Oryzias latipes: one gene and its partners. The protein of the gene in region 4 purifies or fractionates together with the protein of the main gene of each other region. This does not show direct contact. Links are inferred from orthologs where the notes say so. Each region holds a gene or a part of one and is shown on either strand. Other genes may lie near its edges. The genes, in order: vps33a, vps39, vps41 and plekhm1.

Region 1 (6,126 bases), on a different chromosome or scaffold from region 4:
AAAACAAATTTCATTGGAGTGGGTCTTTAAAGCTGATCCTGTTGTGCATCAGTCCTTCACCATGCCGGTGCTACTTTAATGACACAAGTCAACCTAAACCACCAGAAAGAGGTGTTTCCACTTTTGTTGCTGCATATAATGTAGTGCACTGCTTAACCCTTGTGTGGTGTTCATATTGTTGTTACTCAGCCAGTGTTCGTGGGTCTGGTGGACCCGTTGCATGTTGTGGTTTTTAATGCCTCACAATCAAACACTTTGATGTTAAAATACTCGAAGGATGTTTACCTCATCCAATTACAATCAGTATATTTGGTTAATATTTGCCTTTTACCTTTGTTAGATCACATTCATAACTCATTTAAAACGTGATAAAGAAAATCAATTAAAATCAAGATATGAGTGGAAACAAATTTTCAAGTGAAGCAAGGGTTTTCAAAACTACTGACTTTTATTTATTTGAACACAGAAACTGAACCCATTCAGGTGCACAACACAAGCTGAACACATAGAGTAAACCTATTAGTCAAGACAACACATCAGCCCCATTGAAGACATGGCCTTCTAGCCACTAGCCTGTACAACACATGGTCCTGGCTGCTGACGGCCTGGTCCTGTGGCTGGGTGCTGATGGCTTCGTTTTGGAACTGGCTGATGCTCAATCTAAATGGTAAATGGTAAATTGCGTATACTTATATAGCGCCTTTCTTCCTCCAAGGACAAAGCGCTTTACAGTCACAGACCCATTCACCCAGTCACACACACGTGGCGGCTCCGCTGCCAAGCACAGGCGCCCGCCTACCACCAGAGGCAAGGTGGGGTTCAGTGTCTTGCCCAAGGACACTTCGACTCATGGGTGTGCAAGGCGGGAATTGAACCTGCAATCTTACGATCATGGGCCTACCGCCCTACCGCTGCTCCACGGCCGCCCCAATCTAATCATCTTCTTCAGAGTCACTGTCAGACTCTGAATTTTCAGAAATGTGATCCTCTAATTCTGAAACCTCCTCTTCTGAATCGTCTCCCTATACATCATCATCAAAAACGTCTCTCTCTTCTAAAATCAATTCCAGGGCCCTCTGCGCAGAAAGTCTATTGGCCATTTTGATCAGTTGTGATGAGAAACCACACTGGCAAAGCTATATTTAACGTGTCCCGCCTCCAATTTGTAGCAGATAACGAGCGAGATATTAAAGATTCCCGCAAGAAAGTCAAATGGTCAAATGTGCGGGAGAACGAGAGCAAACAGAGTTGATGCTTGAATTATTCTAACAATGTTGCAACCTTTAGCAGGAACCGCAGGTGCAGAAACAGAACTCACATTTACAGTGAATCTTTCTCTCTCTGCCACTCTCTCTCTCTCTTTCTCACTGGTCACACACACACACACACACACACACACACACACACACACACACACACACACACACACCTACACACACCCCCACACACACCCACACACACACAGCAGGCCCAGACAGGTGGAGGACAGAGTGTAGGTACATAAAACATCAATTTCCACACCTCTATTGGCCCCGGGTCCAGTGGACCCGAACATCTTATATGTAATAGAAATGTGTTGGGGGGGTATACAGTGTGTTGTCATTAAAAATGTATTCTAATATATGTTCTTCACAGAAAATGAGCCAAGGCCAGTGAGTCTGAGTTTGAAAAATTAATTACGGTAATTGTATCATTTTTCTTTTGATAAAAAATGAAAACGGGTCCCACAGACCCGAACACCACATAAGGGTTAAACTCACCCTGAAAGCACTTTCATACTCCATGGACAGCAGATCCCCATCATAGGGAATCAGGTCCAGGATATACTCATCCATGTTGATAAAAGAACCTAGCACGCCTTGGTCCTTCAGTCTCTGCTCACAGAGCATGCTCCTCCGAGGCACAAACAAAATGTGAAAGTCTCTGGATGAATGCAGTCTGTCCTCACTGAAAAGAGCACAATCCAGAACAATCCTCAGAACGCACAAGCGAAAGGAGGAAGTGGGGATCTTGTCCAGTTTGGTTACTTTGTGGAGCGTAATGATGAAACTCATGACATACCTCTGAACATTCTTTGCAATTATGTCCATCAACTCCAGCCTGGGACGGACGAAGAAGATTATGTTCTTCACATCAGCATTGGGAAGTTTCCCACTCTTGAGGGTGAACATCTTTTCCACCTCATGTTCCTAAAGAAATAGCAGGAAAAAAGACAAGAGCTGTTAAAAACACCCACATTAGATCATTCTATCCAAAACGTTTGCTGAGACCGTCCTTACCTTTAGAAGAGAGTACTGAGCTATGAGTCCAAAAGGCCCAGTAAGATACTCATCCCAAACTATGGCCTAAAGAACATATAATTATAACTCTAACATCACACACGTAATACATTCAATTGCAAATATATAAATGATAGATTATTCAACTCAAGATAGGCATACAAAGCATGTATTATATATTTTATGTATTGGCTAAACTGAAATTATCATTTTGATGAAAACGTTTAAGCTGTGATTGAAAGAAGATAATTCGATACAAATACAGTAGTTTAAGGTCATGCAATGCGCAATAAGTCGACTTCTTACTTTGCTTCCTGCACACTTGTCCAGAAATTCCCGCAGGTCTTTCCTCGCAGCTTCCCTTAAAATGTTTAAATTCACTTTTCCGTAAGACAGATGAGCAGCCATCTTTCCTCATCAGCAACAAGTCAGGTGACCCATTCCGGAAGGAAGACTGGATCACGTGACAAAAGAGGTTACGGTGACAAGAGAATTCTGACTAAAAACAATGGAAACGAACAAAAATAAGTCACATAATTAAAAAACGAAAAAGGAGAGAAAATAATTAAACAAAAAATACATTTTGTGGAATATTAACACATAGACATAGTGCTACAACGACTTAATATATTTAAATAAACGAAACAGGAAATGGTTTAGCCCAAGTCGTTGGCCATCTTTTACTACATTTAGGTGGGGCAGTGTGCATCGAAACCTGATTAAAATGTTGACTCGACAGATTTAAACGCCACATTTTGAAATGTGGCGTTTCTTTACGATATTTGTCATTTTTTAAATTATAATGTAATGAAATAAGCGTCGGAGAAAACAATAGAAGATAGATTCAAGTGTTTCTGTGAACAAATGGACAACAAAGCCGTTAGATGGCGCTGTGTCTCCGACATAGCAAAGCACCCAAATGCAGCTCCAATCGAGCGCAGCCCGCTATTATGTGAGAATTTGTCTCGGGTACCTGCCCTGTTTATAAATGAAAAACAAAGAAATATTGTATTTTTGTTCGCACAGAGAGCAAACAGCCCATATTTTTTATATCACATGGAACATGATAATGTTCATTGACAAGAAGAAAGTGTCTAAGCTTTTAGTGATAATAGTGTTTAATATGCAATTTAATCGAAAAGTAAACAAATACAAAGACACCAATATTATTCTTTAGAAAAAATTAGGTTAAAAAAACGACCACAAAAAACTAATCATTCTAGGTTTGCCTTCACAAGGCTGCCTGGGTGGAGATAAATTTAGGTTCTATAGACAACTGGATCAGGTGATAACAGCCCACTTGTTATTACTTCAGATCGAGGGGTTTCCTTCCCACGGCACCAAGGGCTTTCCATCTTCCACGCAGGATGGAAGAGCAGTTTCCACGCATCGTATAGTGATCCGCTGCGCTCTGTGCTCTGATAGCCCCTCCAGACCCACAAAAAAAAGAAGGGAAAAAAGACGCGATTTGGTGACAGGCACGACCATGCGCAATGACTTACTTTGATGAGATTCAGCAGGCGCTGCACAAACTCCGCATCTTTTTCTAACAGCATCCAGAGAGAGAAAAAGGGACTGGATCCTCTGGTAGGGTTTCCGATCTTCTTTTTGCCCCCCTTCAAACACCGTATCTACATACTAAAATTGCTTTGAGGTTGATGCGTTTGCCCGGTGAGTCAGTGCATGATTATAATATTTTTTTCCCCCTCCACATACAAGTTGAATGAATGCAGCCCTTCATTCAGGAGAGAAGCCCCGTGGATCATCTCTTTGGAGGGAACGTACCTCACAGCCCGTATTTATTTGGTGGAGCACATTTTTATTGTCTTCATCAGCCAGTTACTGATTTGACTGAGAAGGGAAGGTTAGTCTGCATGTGCACAGCCAGAAGAAGCTGATCAACTACTAATGCGTTTGATTGTTGTAAAAGCCCCACTAAAAGCAGTCATTCAGTGGTGGTGAGTCATGCATTTTAGAAAGGTTGCATGGTTTTTCTATCATGGTTCAAGTCTCGAATGATCAATTATTGTAACCCCTGATGGTGTGGCGAATCTTTAAATCCCCTTCAAGGCTTGTTGGACATGGGATATAAAGAAGAAAACCTGGTCAGTTGTTTGGAGGATTGTGTGGCTGCAGTCTCATGGCTTTGCTGCAGGGGAACATGATGGAGCTTGATTCACATACAGATTATGATGTAAAGACATTAGTGATGCCTAAAGATTCTGGTGTGGGCAGGGCAGCCCTCTAGCCCAGCTCTGCCATTGCACAGACAATTCAGTGGTCAACTTGTGATGTTATCAAGTCTTCTTGCACTAAAGGGTATCAGTGGACCAAATCCGTTTGCTACATATGTACATGTATAGGGAATTTTGTTGAGGGGTAGCAAAAAAAAAAAAACTCCAACAACCTTAGGTTCATTAAATCCCTCTGCAGACCTGAGAGATGGGAATTCAGCTGAGACAGAATGAAGTGTAACATCTAGAGCTGTGCCTCTCAAGAAAGCAACCACGTTAAAGTGACTGGACGACACCCTCATTCTGCCACCCCCCCCCCCCCTTTTTTGTCTCTGGATTTCTTTGTGCAAATGAATAAAATGGTTGTTAGGTCTGAACACACAAAGCCTTAGAAGAAACATGGTTGCTGACAGAAAACGTGGAAAAAACATGGAGGAATAAAGTAAGTGCTTTTCACACTGACTGCATTATTTAATGCTAGGCAACCATACCCATAATCCCAGGTCTTTTGCCATTCTTCCTCTCAAAGCATACTGGCTTTTCAACTATGTGAGCAGCAACGCTGACCTGGTCCGCATATGCTCACACAAAGTGTTTGATCACTTAAATTCTTAGCTATTGATTGTTCTGTTTCCATGGCCACAGATGTCAAAGGTGCACATCTCCGTGTTCATTTGTATTCCTCATAATCCGGGCATGGAGGTTTAAACTTGGACTCGGTAAATCTGCAGGTGTTTCTGATAAAATTCTGCTCCACAGTCAGATTGTGTTTGCTGTGACAGAGCTTTAATGGAAGGGAGTGGCTTTATCCTGAAATGATCAAGGAGGAGAATTGTTTCTCAAGGCTCTCTAAAACTGGTGATTAGGGCTGCCTAAGCAGTGTGGCATATTGGAAAAGACAAAGGTAATTAATGCAGCGTTTTAACAAAATTCCCAATAAAGGGAACATAGTTAAAATTCAAAAACAGAACCCTGATGTATTGAGAAAACCCTACTCTCTCTAAAAGATTCATTTCTTTAGTTTCATGCATGTCTTTTTAGGTAATGATAATTACCTCTGTGCATTTGTTTTGGCCACACTAAAGCTTTGGAGTAATTACCCAAATCTTACTGCATCTAAAAATCTTATTGATGGACCTTCAAACGGATTTTTATTACAAGCTAAGCCCTTTTTCAGCATGTTGCGCTTTGTGGAGCAGACACGTCTGCCAACTGCAGTGTCCTAAAAACACCCAAGGGTGTTGTACATGCCGCTTTATCAGAAGCACAAAAGAGAGTCAGATATCAAACAGCCAAAAAGCATCTCCGATGGACAGATTCCCCCTGCAGACAGAGTTTTGAGTCATCATTTCAGATGTTGCAAACTATATAATACATCGCCATAGATCTTCAGCTGCAGCTAATTTAAAAACGCTGAGGGATTTTTCAGTCAACCATAATCTGGTGGTACTTATTTCCTGGAGCCAAAACGGGAAGGCATTAACGGGGAACTCCTGACCAGTGCTTCAGCAGCCAGTTCCTAGACCCACCTCCTTCCTTTGGGCCGAACAAGGATGAATCAGCCTGGCAAGTTTGAGACTCGATGCAGACCGTTGCTGGAATGCATTTAGCTG
Region 2 (5,508 bases), on a different chromosome or scaffold from region 4:
GGGTCGTTGGGGCTCTTGCGGGTCGTTGGGGCTCCTGCGGGTCGTTGGGGCTCCTGCGGGTCGTTGGGGCTCCTGCGGGTCGTTGGGGCTCCTGCTGGTCGTTGGGGCTCTTACGGGTCGTTGGGGCTCCTGCTGGTCGTTGGGGCTCCTGCTGGTCTTTGGGGCTCTTACGGGTCGTTGGAGCTCTTGCGGGTCGTTGGGGCTCCTGCGGGTCGTTGGGGCTCCTGCTGGTCGTTGGGGCTCCTGCGGGTCGTTGGGGCTCTTACGGGTCATTGGGGCTCCTGCTGGTCGTTGGGGCTCCTGCTGGTTGTTGGGGCTCTTGCGGGTCGTTGGGGCTCCTGCTGGTCGTTGGGGCTCCTGCTGGTCTTTGGGGCTCTTACGGGTCGTTGGAGCTCTTACGGGTCGTTGGGGCTCTTACGGGTCGTTGGGGCTCCTGCTGGTCGTTGGGGCTCCTGCGGGTCGTTGGGGCTCTTACGGGTCGTTGGGGCTCCTGCTGGTCGTTGGGGCTCCTGCTGGTTGTTGGGGCTCTTGCGGGTCTTTGGGGCTCTTGCGGGTCGTTGGGGTTCCTGCTGGTCGTTGGGGCTCCTGCGGGTCGTTGGGGCTCCTGCTGGTCGTTGGGGCTCCTGCTGGTCGTTGGGGCTCCTGCTGGTCGTTGGGGCTCCTGCTGGTTGTTGGGGCTCTTGCGGGTCGTTGGGGCTCTTGCGGGTCGTTGGGGCTCCTGCGGGTCGTTGGGGCTCCTGCTGGTCGTTGGGGCTCCTGCTGGTCGTTGGGGCTCCTGCGGGTCGTTGGGGCTCTTACGGGTCGTTGGGGCTCCTGCTGGTCGTTGGGGCTCCTGCTGGTTGTTGGGGCTCTTGCGGGTCTTTGGGGCTCTTGCGGGTCGTTGGGGTTCCTGCTGGTCGTTGGGGCTCCTGCGGGTCGTTGGGGCTCCTGCTGGTCGTTGGGGCTCCTGCTGGTCGTTGGGGCTCCTGCTGGTCGTTGGGGCTCTTGCGGGTCGTTGGGGCTCTTGCGGGTCGTTGGGGCTCTTGCGGGTCGTTGGGGCTCCTGCGGGTCGTTGGGGCTCCAGCTGGTCGTTGGGGCTCCAGCTGGTCGTTGGGGCTCCTGCGGGTCGTTGGGGCTCCTGCGGGTCGTTGGGGCTCCTGCTGGTCGTTGGGGCTCCTGCTGGTTGTTGGGGCTCTTGCGGGTCGTTGGGGCTCCTGCGGGTCGTTGGGGCTCCTGCTGGTTGTTGGGGCTCTTGCGGGTCGTTGGGGCTCCTGCGGGTCGTTGGGGCTCCTGCTGGTTGTTGGGGCTCTTATGGGTCGTTGGAGCTCCTTTTGACTGCTTATGTTCTTGTTGTCCTTTAGTTTACTTGAGCTAAATTTTATATTGGCATTAAAAGCTTACAGATTACACAGATATTTTGTAGCTGTACCCCAGAGTGGACCCTGTAGTGCAGGTGTCAAACTCAAGGCCTGCAGGCCAAATGTGGCCCTCCATGTCATTTTATGTGGCCCACGACAGCATAAAAGTTTGTAATCTCTTAAAATAAAAAATAAAAATTGGTGTGTATTTCTTCATATCCAGGGGGAATCTGACTTGAAATATCGGATTGGGCTTAAACACTGAGTAACAAGCAAACATATGTTTTATATGCAACTGTAATTGTCACTTTAAAAAGTTATAATAAATAAATAATTAGTTATTTAACATTAAGGAGTGGGTATATTTATTATTCACTACATTTAGTTACATGTATAAATTATATCTGGCCCTTTCAGGACAGACACTATGCTGATGTGGCCCTCAGTGAGTTTGACCCCCCCCCCTGCTGTAGTGATATGTAAACAGGCATCGAATGTTTAGGTTTTATTTTCAGTTTTAGGAATCCAATTAGTTATTTTTCTTACTATTTTGAATCCTGTTGATGTTTGTTCCTTCAGAGTAAGACTTTTCTTCGTCAGAACAGTTCTCAGCCTGTCGTTTCATCTCTTTAGACCCAACGTTGTGTATGTAGCCAGCAACCACTTCGTGTGGCGTCTGGTTCCCGTGCCGATAGCCAACCAGATCCGGCAGCTTCTTCAGGACAAGCAGTTTGAGCTGGCTCTCCAGCTGGCGGTGAGATCCCGATCCAGACATCGTATCTTCAAACAGGATGTTCCGGTTCATTCTTTGTTTCTGTTGTCGAAAGATGAAGGACGACTCTGACGGAGACAAGAAGCAGCAGATTCATCACATCCAGAATCTTTACGCCTTCAACCTGTTTTGCCAGAAAAGATTCGACGAGTCCATGCAGGTGTTTGCCAAACTCGGCACAGGTAGGATGGATGTTTGGGTCCTGGAGTGACTAGTAGAATAGCCCTTGTGCTATCTTGTGGGGTCAAAATGACCCCCCCCCCCCCCCCTTACATTGACGTGTTCTCCCTACCATGACAAAGGTGGATAAAGGTGGAAAGATTTCATGTAATCCATGGACACCAGTGAAGATCACAAATCATTGAAGAAAAAAGGTTCAGAGCACTGTCCAGTGGGTCTAGATGACCCAACTCCCAATGTTAAAGTGTCCAGGATAGCACAAGGGTTAGAGCAGCAAAGAAAAGAGGTGATGCTGCAATGTTAGTAAAGCAGAAGCTAAAGTTTAGAGAAGAAGAGAAACTCTGAAGAACAGCACAGCTGTTCTTCAGAGTTTCTCTTCTTCTCTAAACTTTACTGACATTGGAGCATTCGCCTCTTTATCACCCCAACACCAAAAAAACGTCCCACAAAGTCAATAAACTGAAGCAAAGGCGTCTGCAGGGACCACCACGGGGGTCCAGTCTCTGCCCTCAGCTCAACCTAAAGGAGAAGAAGTTTGATGAGACAAAATCTGATATATGATGAGAGATCTTTAGCTCTGCTGCTCCAGATTCTGCTTTTCTTTGTAATCAAGCCCTGCAGCCACGCCCCACCAAACTAAAAGGAGAATTTATTTAAAAGGACAATGAAAAGTTCTTTTCTTCCTGGTGAGCCAGGACAGTTTTACACTAAACCAGTGAGTCTGCAGGCTTTAAGCACACTTCAGTCTTTGAGGGTTTATTAAATATTTTTTTAACTGATCTAACATTTTCTCGTTTACTTTTTGGGGAAATGTTTTGTTCTTGTTCTTAAAATGCTCCGTGAGGTGTGTTGTAGAAATCCTCTCCTCGTTTGGCAGATCCCACCCATGTGATCGGACTGTACCCAGAGTTACTGCCGTCTGATTACCGCCGGCAGCTGCACTACCCCAACCCGGTCCCCAGCCTTTCCGGGCCGGAGCTGGAGAAGGCTCACCTGGCTCTGATCGATTACCTCACGCAGGTGCGAATCCGTCCACCTCCTGAAAACGGCCGCGTGACACCACCCTCTGACATCCCAACCTCTCTGCTGCAGAAACGAAGTCACCTGGTCAAGCAGCTGAACGACTCCGACCCGTCCACCACGTCGCCGCTCATGGAGGGCACGCCCACCATCAAAAGCCGCAAAAAGCTGCTGCAGATCATTGACACCACCCTACTGAAGTGTTACTTGCATGTGAGGGACACGTCTTTGGTTCACAGTTGACCTGAGATGAGTCATTTTAAGGCTACCGGCCCTAACTGTTGGGAGAAGCTCCGCCCCCAACACCCCCCACCCCACCATTATCCACACACACACAAACATACAGATCCATGCTTACGCTGCTTGGTACAAACAGAAATGTGAAACATTTTGATTTGATTTGATTTGAAATGGTTTATTTCAAGCAATCAAATAGGAGTAATACACACAAAAGCAATATAATCATCAGTTATACATTCATACAGTAACTAATCAAACTTAGGATAATTAGACATAATTAATAAAAATTGCTTGAAAGGGAGTGGAAAGAAGCGAACTTATATAATCCCACCCCGTTATACTATAACCATTTTATTACATGATTTATCAATATCCGGTTCCTAGGTTTTATCAGACAGAATTAATAATCATAAGGTATCAATAAAGCAGATGCCAAAGATGAAATTACTTAAGTACTACGTCAAAAATAACTTTAGAAATCAACATGGCAAATGCAGCATCTGAAATATATGCAAATTATGTTACTTTTAAAAGTCATTCATATGCTTTAAAACATAATACTATACCAGTAAAATAGACACAACACTGTTTCAGGAGTTTTCATAGCAAAATTTCATCAAGTATCAAAAGTTAAAAACATGTGCAAAATTATGCTACATTAGGAAAGATTTTTGAATCATTTTATCAATTTTATTCATACGCACAAACTTAATAGTAACTAAAAAATAAACTGCATCCACTGCAGAGCCTGTCGGCCACTATTGTCTTTCACAGGCAGAGGCGGGGGGATGAACTCTTGCTGTTGCGCAACAAAACACACAAGAATTGCATCAAAAAATGTTGACATTACCCCCCATGCTGCTCCTCACTGCCCCCTGTGGCCCGGCCGAGTCACTGCAGTCTGAGATTTTGACCCTAAACACTGTAGATGTAGCTGGCGAGTGACACCTGAATAACACACCATCTTTGACTCCTCAACCGAGCAGCTGATTCAGGCGCAGACAAACGCAGCTTTACATTTCAGACACTTTATGTTAGTATTGTGTCGTGTGACGATGCAAAGCTGCTTTTTCTGCAGCAGGAGCAGCTGATTGATTGTGGAAACACTTCACTGACGCAAAGCGAATCCGCTTTACGGCTTTAGAATCCGCTGGAATCACGTGAAGTAAACGGTTGTAGATTTACGGCAGTGGAAAGGGTAGAAACACTGCAGCTAAAGCTTCGCTGTCAAAGGGATAAACAGGAGGCATTTTGGAAAACCATTTGCTTTGAATGGAAAAGATTTGTGAAGAAATGAGTCATTTTTTAAATTGTGCTTTTAAACCAATGAAGAATGTTGTAGGAGAATCTCAGCGCCGATGATGACGAAAATAAACCTTTGATGTTGTCCTTCCTCGCTTAGACCAACGTGGCCCTCGTCTCCCCCCTGCTGCGCTTGGAGAACAACCACTGCCACATCGAGGAGAGCGAGTACATCCTGAAGAAGGCGCACAAGTACAGCGAGCTGATCATTCTGTACGAGAAGAAGGGCCTGCACCGGAAAGGTCAGAGCGCCGCTGGAAGCCGCTTCTCCTGTCTGGAGTTGGTTTCTCTGCGTCACTGAGGCAACGAAGGGAGGAGTCATGAGGGAGGCAGACAGACGCAGGAAAAGGGTTAAAAACCCGAGTTCCTCCTCCTCCAGACCCTCAGTGCTCCACAGAGAACGTGCAGCGATGTTTAGATGTGACAGAGTCTCAAAACCTGCAGAGCAGACGTGATTGGCTGGATCCGACACAGAAACGCCACTGCAGATGTGCAGTTTGTCCTGCGTTCATGCAGATGTGTTGTAGACTCATTAAAGAGAAAAGAAGGAGCTGAATGTAAAGAGTGTAGATCCAGATGTTTGATCAGCATCTGGATGCAGATCAGACTCTGATCGTGTTCTTGGTGACACATTGACTCTCAGGTCTGCATCTTTCT
Region 3 (6,171 bases), on a different chromosome or scaffold from region 4:
AGCACAAATGTATGGACTGGAAGCATTTAATATATTAAAGATACAAATTTTTTTTTTACTTATTTAATATTCCTGTTATTAAAATACTATGCCATAATATTCTCAAGGGGATTTTTGCTACATTTTTTTGTCCTTTTACCTCCTAAAACAACATAAAAAAAGTGGAAAATCTAAAGGTAGAAGGCAAAGATAAGAAGGGAAAACAGACTATGAGAAAGACTACTGGTTAAAAAATGTAAACTTAAAACAATACGATGCTCATACTATGGTACATGCGTGTTACTGACCTTTATGTTCATTTAAAGCTTAAATATACCTTTTTAATTAAAATAACTGGTATTATCTGGTGTTATTTGGATTCATACCTTTATATGCTATTGGCTAAATAAAATGAGTTCTGTCATTGTATCAAGAAAGAGTATTTCTGCATAGAACCAATCTATTTTGAGAAGTGTTTACATGTATATGTGTAGGAGATACCCAAAAAAGGGACAAATTTTCATTACCTTGCATGAAAGGCCTAAAACAACAATTTTTCATCTTTTCTCAATGCCGTTTATCCCCAGTGAGACGCGTGAATTTATTGTTTTCATAAAGCAAACTTAAAGTATTCTACTGTGTTACACTTTCCAGCATGAGTCAACATTTGCAGCCAGTCACAGCCTGAATATTACTCATAATTCGGTTTATAACCAATACTGCACAGTCTGTGGCTGCCCAGAGGGTGCATCAACTCAAAACATTGTCTGCCATTATGTGCTACTGGGTTGGAGGTGGGGGACAATAGCGTGGAAAAAATGTTATTTTCAAAAACAATCCTTTCCCACTCAACAACGCCATATCTAGGCTATTTCCTGTGTATTCTGGTTGTGAGATTTCTGATGCGAGGGCATTTGTCACGGATTTCAAAGGCGTATCAAACAACAAAGGCAAACTTCATCCCCACAGAGAAAATCCCCATTTTAAAACTTTTCCCATCTCTTGTAAGTTGCCCTTTGTTTTCTCCACTGCCACACTGGCCTTTATCTTGAAGCCATTTATGCCATTTTTCTTGCCTATTGACAGTTTAAATACAACAGGTTGAACTATTCAGTCGGACTGCATCAAGGATAACATTCTGCAGAGCGCACAGAGACGACGCCGGTTGTCGCCATCTAGCAGGATAAGAAAAATAGGAATGTCCACTTCAACAAAAGCTTTTAAAACAAACGCGAATGAAAATTATGCTACACTAACGCAGCTGCCTTTGAGTTATACATGATGGCTATCCTTCAGAAGATACAAAGGACTTAATTCAATTTGAAAGGAAAATTAAAATCCCTTCAGCTATGAGGTTAACATCTTCAGTTCAATAGTTTTCTAATAATGACTGCCAACCTTTCTATTCAATTCAATTCAATTTTATTTGTATAGCCCAAATTCACAACAACAGTCGTCTCAATGGGCTCCGTATCGGTAATTGCAAAAGTGAAACATGAACTCAAAAGGATCATAAATACATAGAGTTCAATAGGAAAATACTAAAATGAACTAACAAACTGACTAAGCTATACTGGCATCCCTGCCCTTAGACCTTTTAGGAAAAACTCCTTAAAAAAAACGGATTCCGGAAAAAACAGAGAAACCTCAGGGGTCCCCACATGAAGGAGGGATCCTCCCCCAGGACGGATAGGCGATTTACCAGAACTCTTAGAGAAGAATTAACTTATCTAACTCTACAACCACATATATAAAGTCCAGCAGACGAGCTTCATCCAGCCGGAGTTGCTTTTTAAGTAATTTGCCCCTCATTTTGCAAGTGAATGGAAAAGCTTTGATCTGTAAAGGTTTTTTGTTGTAAATACATACTTAAAGGTGTGAGTTCTATAGAGAAAGCTGGATGCTGAGTGTGAGCATTTTTTTGAATGAATTTTAAAGAAAATAGTTTAATCAAACCAAATATTTTTGACTTTAACTGGTGTGTTATAGAATTTTTCCTTATTTTGTTTTTTTTTAAATAAAGATATATTTGCTTGTAGTACTGTACATGCAACATATAAGGTGAACTGGTCAATAACCTGAACAGCGCTGGGACCAGTAACAAATGTTACTATACACTCACTGGCCACTTTTTTAGGCACATCTGTCCAACGGCAAATCAGCCAATCACATGGCAGCACATCAATGCATTTAGACATATGTAGACATGGCTGCAGTCTAAACCAAACTGGGAAGAAAGGGGATTTAAGTGACTTTGAACAAGACATGGTGGTTGGTGCCAGACAAGCTGGTCTGAATATTTCAGAAACTGCTGATCTTCTGGGATTTTTACCCACAACTATCTCTAGGGTTTACAGAGAATGGTCCAAAAAAACAAAAAGAGATCCAGTGAGCAGTTCTGTGGGCAGAAATGCCTTGTTGGTGCCAGAGGTCAGAAGAGAATGGCCAGACTGATTCTAGCTGATAGAAAGGCAACAGGGTTCCAACTGAGGTCTGCAGAAGAGCATCTCTGAACACACAACACGTCCAACCTTGAGGCAGATGGGCTACAGCAGCAGAAGACCACACCGGGTTTCACTCATGTCAGGTAAGAACAGGAAACTGTCTGAGGCTACAACTCACACAGGCTCACCAAAACGTGACACTAGAAGATTGGAGAAACGTTGCCTGGGCTGAATAATTCTCCATTCCTGCGGCGACAATTGGATGGTAGGGTCAGAATTTGGCGTCAAAGCGGGAATCAATCCTGCCTTGTATCAACAGTTATGGCTGGTGGTGGTGTAATGGTGTGGGGAATATTTTTTTTGGACCCACAGTACCATTCTAGCATGGATACAAAGCCACAACGCTGAGTATTGTTGCTAACCATGTACATGCCTTTATGACTACATCTTCCAATGGCTACTTCCAGCAGGATAAGGCGCCCTTTCATAAAGGTGGAATCATCTCAGACTGGTTTCTTGAACATGACAATGAGGACTCTGTCCTGAAACAGCCTCCAAAAAGAATGTCAAAAATATAGACATTTTGTTTTCTAAAAGATTTATACATGTGTTTTTCACCCAACTTTTTTATGTGAGAATTCTGAAGATTCAAAGCAGCCCTTCTCTGAAATGTGTTAATTTATTTCTATTCTTAAAATGAAAAGGAAAGAATGTAGTCCTGTCCTGCTGTGATTGGCAGCTAATGCTTGTCTACCATAAACTTAAAGTAAGCTTCTTTATAACTTTGCAACACTTAAAAAATACTTCCACGTTCAAGTTGTTAAAAACAAAAACAAAAAGAAAAGAAGAAAACAGGAAATTGAAGCAGCGTTTAAGTTAAGTAAATAAAATAAGGAAAAAAAAACGGCACAAAATAATACAATTCTAAGCTTCTTACCTCAGACTCATCAGTACATTCCTCGCTTGGCTTTTTATCCTTAAAGAAGAATCACAATCAAAATGTTTGATCTTTAAATTCTCTAGTTTGAAAAATAAATAACAAGATCATTAAAACTAAAACAACCCCAAACCTTCGTTAAAATAAATTTTACACGAATTGTAGGTAACAATCAAAATCAGAATAAAAATCTCATAAATATTAACAAAACATTTGTCATTCTTTAAAAAAAACACGTATAAAACGATCATAAGCTAGCTAGCTTTAGCATGCTATCCTCACCTTTTCTTGCACTTCCGCCATTATGGTTCCAATAGCGATAAATTCCGAAAGCAGATGTTTTTGATCAGTGTCAATTGCAGAAACACATATTAAATTACGCACACAAACTATGTTTGTGGCAAAAGCACGTATAATAAGGCAGTAGAATGCGATGTTTACTGACGGAGCAGTCTTGTTGCTCACATGAATCACTGAATCACATGACTAATGCAAAAACCGCGAGGCAATCTGGGTATTGTAGTCAAACGTAACAGCGTTTGTTTCAAGCAAGGAGTTGAAGACGTCTGCTGCCAAAACGAGTGCAGCTGAAGTAGGTAGCATTAAAATAGTTTTATATGTTTCAAGTTCTCAGTTACCGAATATTGTCAGCCTTATAAGTTTAAAATTACTAATACTGAAAAAAAGGAGTTCTGGATAAAAATGTTCTGTCCGAGCTCAAAACACGTGTTAGGAATATAGTTTAATATACAATTATAAAAGCAAAAGTAGTCGTATTATATTATATTATATTGCTTTTTGTGCCTTATATGTAGGTCAAAAATAATTTTAATTTATTCTTTAAGCTTTTATGAGAACACATTTTTGACACAAGCCCATTGGCCCATTTGGTAGTTGCGGAAAAAAAAGAACAAAACAATAAGTAAACACAGTAAATATCATATTTCATATCCTATTTTCCGAAGAGAAACAGAGGATACAGGAAAGTAGGGAATATAGAGACATTTTTCATTCAATAGATGTGCCACATCATGTACTCCTACCTTATATGGAAGGAATAAATGGCTTTTTAAATGGTTAACATTAAATTACTGAAAAATATAAGACAGTTAAATTGCTTTACATTAAAAAAAACCTTTCCATTTCTGCTTAATCCATTTTAAGGATGTTTTGGGGTCTTTTGTTAAAAGCTAGGGAAAAGACGATACACGTTTAATCTAACTACTCATTTGTTGTGTACATTTGCAGACTTTTTCAACGTTAAAGTGCGCTCTTTTGTCACAATACTGACATTTCATAGTTCAGATGGATTCCAAAGGTTTGAGTTCCTTCTTTTTTATTGAGATTGTCTCACACCTCCGTCCTGCTTCATTCATCCTCAGGAGAATCCTAATGCACTGATACCAAACGGGGATCTCTTTTTTTTCTTTCTTTACAATCTGCTTACCAATGATTTATTGATTGCGGCTTCCACCCTCACAGAGAATTACCGATCCTTTTTGGGAAATCAGATTTTCACACCTTTCACTGGTGTGTATGTGGTCCAGGTCTCCAGAGACGGTGAAAGGGGGAAACTGACTTTGAGGAGCAGCTGTGTGTGAATCTCTGTGGTGTCACTCTGCTGCCAATGGTGCATCTAGCGGAAGGCCTCTGATTCTCCACATCTCTACACTTCCCTCTTTATAGTGCTGCATTATTTAGTGGTGGATAAATACGGCTTGGGCTTAATTCTATACGTGTCCATTCCCTTTGAAACCATTAAAACGCGGTCCACTAACCCTACAATCTTAAGCAAGCATGAGCTGCACTAAGATATAAGCATCTCATAGACAAAAAAAAAAGGCAAAATTACACAAACAACTCTTGCTTGCGTACGTGGAGCAAGATTAGTGCACCAGAAGCTTTGATGCTTGAGAATGTCAGCTCTGTGGATCGATTTAGCCAAAAACACACACACACCTGACCAATCAGAGGCTCTTGTCTGTTGTGGACCTGCTGCTGGGCACCATGGTTTACAAGCTTCAAAGAGCTCCTTTTAATACACTGCTTTGATAGCCTTCAGCCCTCACTGACCCACCGACCGTCCACTGGGGAGCATTTTAGCTTTAGCAGAGAGGAGAGGTAGGACTGTTGATCATATCAACAAGCTCAGGGAAAAAAATATATATATCTTTTTTAAGTTTTGCCTCAGCTTGCATTCACTTTTAAAAATTTACTTACACTAAATTTACTGCTTCACATAAAAGAGTAGAATAATTTGAAAAGAAAATAGGATTTTGTGATGCTTTCGTATGAGGAAAATGATTTATTTCTTTTAGAAAGATAACAGTTTGAGTTATAACCCTAAGGGGGAGACAAATTATTATCCAACAAACTACATTAGACATCCGTATCTCAGGGTGATCACTCAGTGCAACTAATTAATAAACATACATCATTTCATTGCTTTGAGATTATCCGTATTGGACTGTTGGATGAAAGGCTTATTGATGTAGTAGCAGATGCTCAGTAGTGACCTTTTAATCAGTCATTAAGTTTATCTTAAGGATTTTTTATGAAACCTGTAATTGAATATCCTTTAGCATAACATTTAAGTAAGTAGTGATGATATGCACGATTATACATAGCGTTCTCTTGTGCTAATCTACTCTTGTATTCTCATAATTTTTAAAAAATACACAGGAGTTTCAAAAATTCGAAGTCAAGAAGCTTTCAAATTCCAAAACTGCTATATTACATCGAAGTATAGAAAATATTTATATCACTTTTTATCGTAGTCCACTCTTTTATTGTAGGCCAGCTCAGTGGCCT
Region 4 (5,508 bases):
TTCAAATGATCAATTAAAGCGAAGTTGTTCTGGATTTTGCTTCTTTTTCCTGAGAGGATTTTTCCCCCCTTTTTGGCTTTTCCCTTCAGCGGTTTTCATGGCAAATCACCCTATAATTATATAAATAAGTAATTTATGTGATCAGTGAAGTAACTTTTGAGTAATAAGTAAGATTTGTAATTTTCAACTTGAGTATTATTTCTATATCTCAGCAATTATTTTGATTAATATCTTTTGCATTTTCTTCGTAACAAAAGCTTGAATTAGGGAATTTTTTAAAAACTAAATTAGAGACAATCATATGCACATTTTTTCAAAATAAAAGTGAACCCTTTTGCTTCACAGTTTTTTTAGATGATTTGTTAGAAGATAAATGCATTATTTGATAAAATATATTGGTGCAAACACAATTATTGGCTTTGACCCAATAATTGTGAGCCTGTTACACACTAGTTAAATAAGTGCACAGTTCAGTTCAGCTCAGTCTTTTCTTGATTTAACTTCAACTTTAAACTAGTTATTCCAAAGCAAGAAGCAGGTTACTTCAATATTTACTTTCTTTGGGAGTTGAGTTTGTTGTGCTTCTGTGTTGTACCCGTAACTGGGTTGCGCCCTCTAGTGGTGGTTCTAATGTTCTTGATAATAGGTCAACAGAAAAACTTAATTACAATACTGTTTGCAAAAATGTTACTTTTTAATGACTAAAACTGGAAGAGTTTTTAAGTTTTCATTTTTTATTTTATTTGTAATGTCATGAAAATTGTTGACGGTCAAATATGTTCACATTTGTTGTACATTATTTTTCAATAATTATTTGAACTTTAATCTTTTAAGCCATTCATAACAGTATGTATCCTTCATACTACTCTATGTTTTACTAGGATCAAGGAGGCATTTTCTGGGAGGGGGGGGATTTTTTATAAGACCTTTTTTATATATTTATGAGAGATATATTGGTTGATTGTGTATTTGCACAGGGTCATATTTATTTATTTAAATATTAACTGTTTAGGAGTCCATAATATGAAAGTATGAGTTTGGGTTGAAAATAGATTTTGAATCTCCAAAAATCTGGATTTTTATGACATTAATTCACTAGAATTTTTGATTTTTAACGAGAAACAAGGTTCTACTATGGTAACCTTGAAAATTGTTCATGTTAAAATTTATAACAAAAGTTTGTTGTATTAGATATTTACAAATTCTTAAAAAAAAGATTCAGTGTATTGACATTTATTAGAAGGAAAAATAAAAACCTTATTGATTTATCAATTTGGAAAACTTATACAATAATTCTTTCATTGTTAGCTCTATTCAAGTGTTGCTAGCAGTTTTGAGTTGCTATACTTTAATACAACAGTCTGTCTTATCCAATTTCATGGAGATAGCAGCAGTGGAGTTCTGTCTACAAGAAAAAAACAAAACAACACAAACATACTTAATTTACAATAGTTTATGAATAGGATGAAGTTAAATAAATACAAACCAGATATAACAGCATTTCAGGATTTTTCCCTTGAATTTAATATGTTCAGGATTTTTTTTTAGTAAACATGTAGAGAATTTTATTCTTGGCACCTTGACCAGAAATGTATTGATATTATTTATATTCCTTTTAAATTTGTCAAGATAAAGGAAAAAGTGATGCACAAAAGTCTTCCACCAGAAAACCAAATAGCTTCTCTTCAAGTTAGAATCATGTGCTAAAATGTATTCTGGCAGAAGCATTCATTTAACAGTCAGAACCAAGTGCAAATATGCAAAATGTGTTACTTCCTTTGAGCTGAACATTGCAAATACTCCCAATTGTATATTTCCAATACGTTTTAGACATCTTGTTTTTAATTTATCTGAACTTAAGTTCCCAGTTAGTGCACCACAAGAATTACATGGATCATGCTGCAGGACACAAGGAGAAAAGTATTTATTCTCCTGTGTCAATACCCAATTCCAAACATTCACGAAATCATAATTCCACAAAACAAATAATGCTACATTTCATTTTAAACCAACAACTGTGACATATGAGACAATACAGTAAAGCTAAAAATCAAAAAGGCACAATCTCAATCATAGAGCTTTTGTAGAGTGTTGTTTGACACCAAATGAAGTACAAAAAGTTTTAAATTAAGTTCATGCTTGCCTTTGTCCCCCCTTTGTTTGGAAGCCGTGGCTAAATCAGATGTTACTGAAGCAATAACATCACTTGTTAGCAACTTTTGGCTGCATTATATCAGAATGTTTCCTTCTAAATTAGTGCAAAGGTCTGAGCTACTGTGGCACTCAGGCTTTCGAGCCGTAGTTGATGTTTTTCAGGCAGGGCAGGCTGATTGGACTAATAATTGCACTTTAGGTTAAATAGGTGTATGGATTTTTATTTTTATTTTTTAAAGCCAGGAACTGATTTCACATCAGCTAAAGAGCTGGAGCTCTCAGTCCTGCAGATCCCTCTCCAGGTATTTCTTCATTCGCTGACAGCGAGGACAGGAGCGGCCCGCAGATTTGCAGGCGGTGTGGAATACAGCTTTACAATCTTTACACCTGATTAAAAAAGAATAAGGGAAATTGCATGACTCACAGCAAAAACACAAAAACAATCCTTTTCTCACTGTTATAAAAGTAAAGAATCAAACTTTATAAAAATAAAAATGTCTAAGAACAACTTATGATTTATGGTAAAAAACAGCAGACACTCCAGGACATTGAAAAAAGCCTGTCAACTAAAGTTTTGGATGGTTATTTTAAGTAAAATACAGTTTCAGTTCATGATTTTAGCACATCGGGTGTTTTGTTAATGGTTTTAAGGGAAATGTGGATCAATGTCATTTCATGGATCATGCTACAGAACATTCTTCAAAGAAAACCCTCATTTCACCATATCTAACATGTTCTCCATCTATGTTTAATCTGTAGTTTGGACCAGAATTATAAAATGATGAGAAAAGATAAAATGATCAGATTATCATACCTCAAGGTGCTTTCGAACTGGAAGGGGAAGAGGATATCATCAGAGTGACAAATCTGGCAAATGAAGCCCCGCTGAGAGCACAGGTCACAGTTGAGCACATGCTTAGTGGCATGCTGCACCAGCATGATCAGAAAGCTTGAATAGTAGCCTTCTGCAATCTAGGAGGAAAAGAAAAAGGTTAAAGCCTTCAAGTGTTGCCCTATTGGCACTTGTTGGTGCAGCCTAACTACCTGTCGTAGATCCATGATACTGTACAGGTGACTTGACTCGAACAGGTATGTGCGCTGCTCCGTTCTGAAGAGAAAAAACAAAACAAATGTGGACTGACACTACAGGTAAAAAAAATAAAAAATCCAATGCTGAACCCAATCTGGTCAGATCAAAATAGTAAAGACCCACCTGTCTTGGAGATGTTTGTATGCTCCACTGCGGCAGGTGAGCAGATAATCACCCAGCAGACGCAACCTGTTGCGCAGGTTGTGGACCTGTGCCATGGACTCTGAATGCTTCACCAGCTCAGGGTTTAGCAGCTCCAGGTTCAGCAGAGGCTCATGATGTATGTGGGTCAGAACACGCATGGCTCTCTTTGACACCTGAACAAAAACAACATTTTAGATTAAACCAGTAATATGTCTTCTGTTCAGCAAAGTCAACCCCAACTCCAATGAAAATTGTGTTTTCTGTGTTTTAACTTCTTCTGTAAGAGGTTTCTCTGTCCCCCAGTCCCCCTGTATTAATGGCACCTGTTTGAACTCATTATGTATATAAAAGACACCTGTCACACTCCAAACTCTGCTATGGTCAAGACCATGCTGTCTAAGGACACCAAAAACCAAATTGTTGACCTGCACCAGGCTGGGAGGACTGAATCTGCAATAGGTAAGCAATAGGGATGGGAATTGAAGCCCCATGAAGCTTCCCTTGGGGTTCATGTAATTGTGCTGGAAAAATGAACCACCGATTCAGGGCTTTGAAACTACACAGAACAGCGGCATCTGGTGGCGGACTGGACGTACATAGACATATGTTTCAACTAAGCTCCTTGTAACACTTCAATGTGGAAATGATGAAAAAACGTAAATCAAAACAATGTTGTTAATGATGATTAGAAAAAAAACAACGTAAAACAACACAACATTTGATGTTTTCTGTGAGGTGCTTGACACAGCAAAATACACATCACATGAAGAAAATAAACGCAAAGCAAAAAAATATAAAAAATTAAATTGTCAAACACCGGTCTTGAACTCAGGACCCTTGGATGCATTCCCCACCGAATGTTCCCCTGAGCCATCTCTACTGACACAAATTCAGCTTGCCATTATAGATTTAATGAAGTATTTTTATATACACAATGATCATAGTGTATTGTTATATTCGGAGAAATCGAGTTGAAATGATCCCGAGCCACAGTACGTTATTTACAAGGAGCCATGATAAAGTGCAATGAACTGACACTGATTCCAATCTTGGGGAAACAATAGAACTTGTCGGGAAACATTCGGGATTCATTTGTATTTCTAGAGAATAGCGCGCCCAACTGTTCAAAACGTAAGAGACATCTGAACCGTGGTTCGACCAAACGAAGCATTTGGCGCTTCATACGTCATCAACCACGTGATCGGCGCTAGTTGACACACACCCCAAAACATTGTGCCGAAACACGCTGAACGTCAAACGGGACATCCCTAGTAAGCAGCTTGGTGTGAAGAGATCAATTGTGGGAGCAATTAAAAGGAAAAGGAAGACTAATAAGATCACTAAAAACTCAATCTGGGGCTTCCCACAGCATCTCCCCCCGTGGGGTCAAAATGATCACAAAAACGGGGAGCAAAAGTCCCAGAACCACACGGGGGGACATAGTGATTTACCTGCAGAGAGCTGGGACCAGGGACCACAGTAATAAAGGCTACCACCAATAACATACTACAGCGCCAGGGACTCAAATCCTGCAGTGCAAGCTGTGTCCCCCTGCTAAAGCCAGTACTTGTGCAGGCCCGTCTAACATTTGCTAGAGAGCATTTGGATGATCCAGAAAAGACTTGGGAGAATGTCCTATCGTCAGATGAAACCAAAACAGAACTTTTTGGTAAGAATTCTACTTGTCATGTTTGGAGGATAAGGAATGCTGAGTTGCATCCAAAGAACACCATCCCTACTGTAAAGGATGGAGATGGAAACATCCTGCTTTGGGGCTGTTTTTCAGCAAAGGGAACAGGATGACTGATCCATGTATAATCAGATTTTGAGTGAATAATTCCTTCCATCAGCATTGAAGATGAAACATGGCTGGGTCTTTCAAATTGACAACGATCCCAAACACACTGCATGGGAAACAAAGGAGTGGCTTCGTAAGAAGCATTTCAAGGTCCTGGCGTGGCCCAGTTAGTCTCCACATCTCAGCCCCATAGAAAATCTTTGGAGGGAGTTGAAAATCTGTGGGAATGCTTTTAAACTGATCAATCTGGTCAGATCAAAATAGTAAAGACTCACCCTCCAAATTGATTGGAGGGTGGGTCTTTACTATTTCAGAAGGGACC

What was found.
Region 1: the proteins of plekhm1 (region 4) and vps33a purify together in Homo sapiens (affinity purification with western blotting; 3 studies listed by BioGRID and IntAct, with this or other methods). This does not show direct contact. The link is inferred for Oryzias latipes from reciprocal best matches to the Homo sapiens genes PLEKHM1 and VPS33A.
Region 2: the proteins of plekhm1 (region 4) and vps39 purify together in Homo sapiens (co-immunoprecipitation; 3 studies listed by BioGRID and IntAct, with this or other methods). This does not show direct contact. The link is inferred for Oryzias latipes from reciprocal best matches to the Homo sapiens genes PLEKHM1 and VPS39.
Region 3: the proteins of plekhm1 (region 4) and vps41 purify together in Homo sapiens (affinity purification with western blotting; 4 studies listed by BioGRID and IntAct, with this or other methods). This does not show direct contact. The link is inferred for Oryzias latipes from reciprocal best matches to the Homo sapiens genes PLEKHM1 and VPS41.

What each region holds. Positions count from the first base shown.
Region 1 is NC_019867.2:18,255,610-18,261,735, reverse strand, and holds the start of vps33a (vacuolar protein sorting-associated protein 33A), read right to left. Parts: upstream 3,786-6,126; 5' UTR 3,782-3,785; exon of another isoform or gene 3,609-3,781; intron 2,734-3,608; 5' UTR 2,688-2,733; coding exon 2,586-2,687; intron 2,346-2,585; coding exon 2,280-2,345; intron 2,190-2,279; coding exon 2,062-2,189; intron 1,948-2,061; coding exon 1,761-1,947; intron 1-1,760. Other genes in the region: rabphilin-3A, read left to right, coding at 3,786-3,866.
Region 2 is NC_019880.2:24,622,137-24,627,644, reverse strand, and holds part of vps39 (vam6/Vps39-like protein), read left to right. Parts: intron 1-1,970; coding exon 1,971-2,091; intron 2,092-2,164; coding exon 2,165-2,291; intron 2,292-3,166; coding exon 3,167-3,309; intron 3,310-3,381; coding exon 3,382-3,522; intron 3,523-4,951; coding exon 4,952-5,093; intron 5,094-5,508. UniProt on the Homo sapiens protein: Regulator of TGF-beta/activin signaling, inhibiting SMAD3- and activating SMAD2-dependent transcription.
Region 3 is NC_019878.2:20,693,907-20,700,077, forward strand, and holds the start of vps41 (vacuolar protein sorting-associated protein 41 homolog), read right to left. Parts: upstream 3,847-6,171; 5' UTR 3,664-3,846; coding exon 3,643-3,663; intron 3,400-3,642; coding exon 3,361-3,399; intron 1-3,360. UniProt on the Homo sapiens protein: Plays a role in vesicle-mediated protein trafficking to lysosomal compartments including the endocytic membrane transport and autophagic pathways. Acts as a component of the HOPS endosomal tethering complex.
Region 4 is NC_019877.2:16,181,634-16,187,141, reverse strand, and holds the end of plekhm1 (pleckstrin homology domain-containing family M member 1), read right to left. Parts: intron 3,562-5,508; coding exon 3,368-3,561; intron 3,263-3,367; coding exon 3,199-3,262; intron 3,127-3,198; coding exon 2,969-3,126; intron 2,542-2,968; coding exon 2,433-2,541; 3' UTR 1,439-2,432; downstream 1-1,438. UniProt on the Homo sapiens protein: Acts as a multivalent adapter protein that regulates Rab7-dependent and HOPS complex-dependent fusion events in the endolysosomal system and couples autophagic and the endocytic trafficking pathways.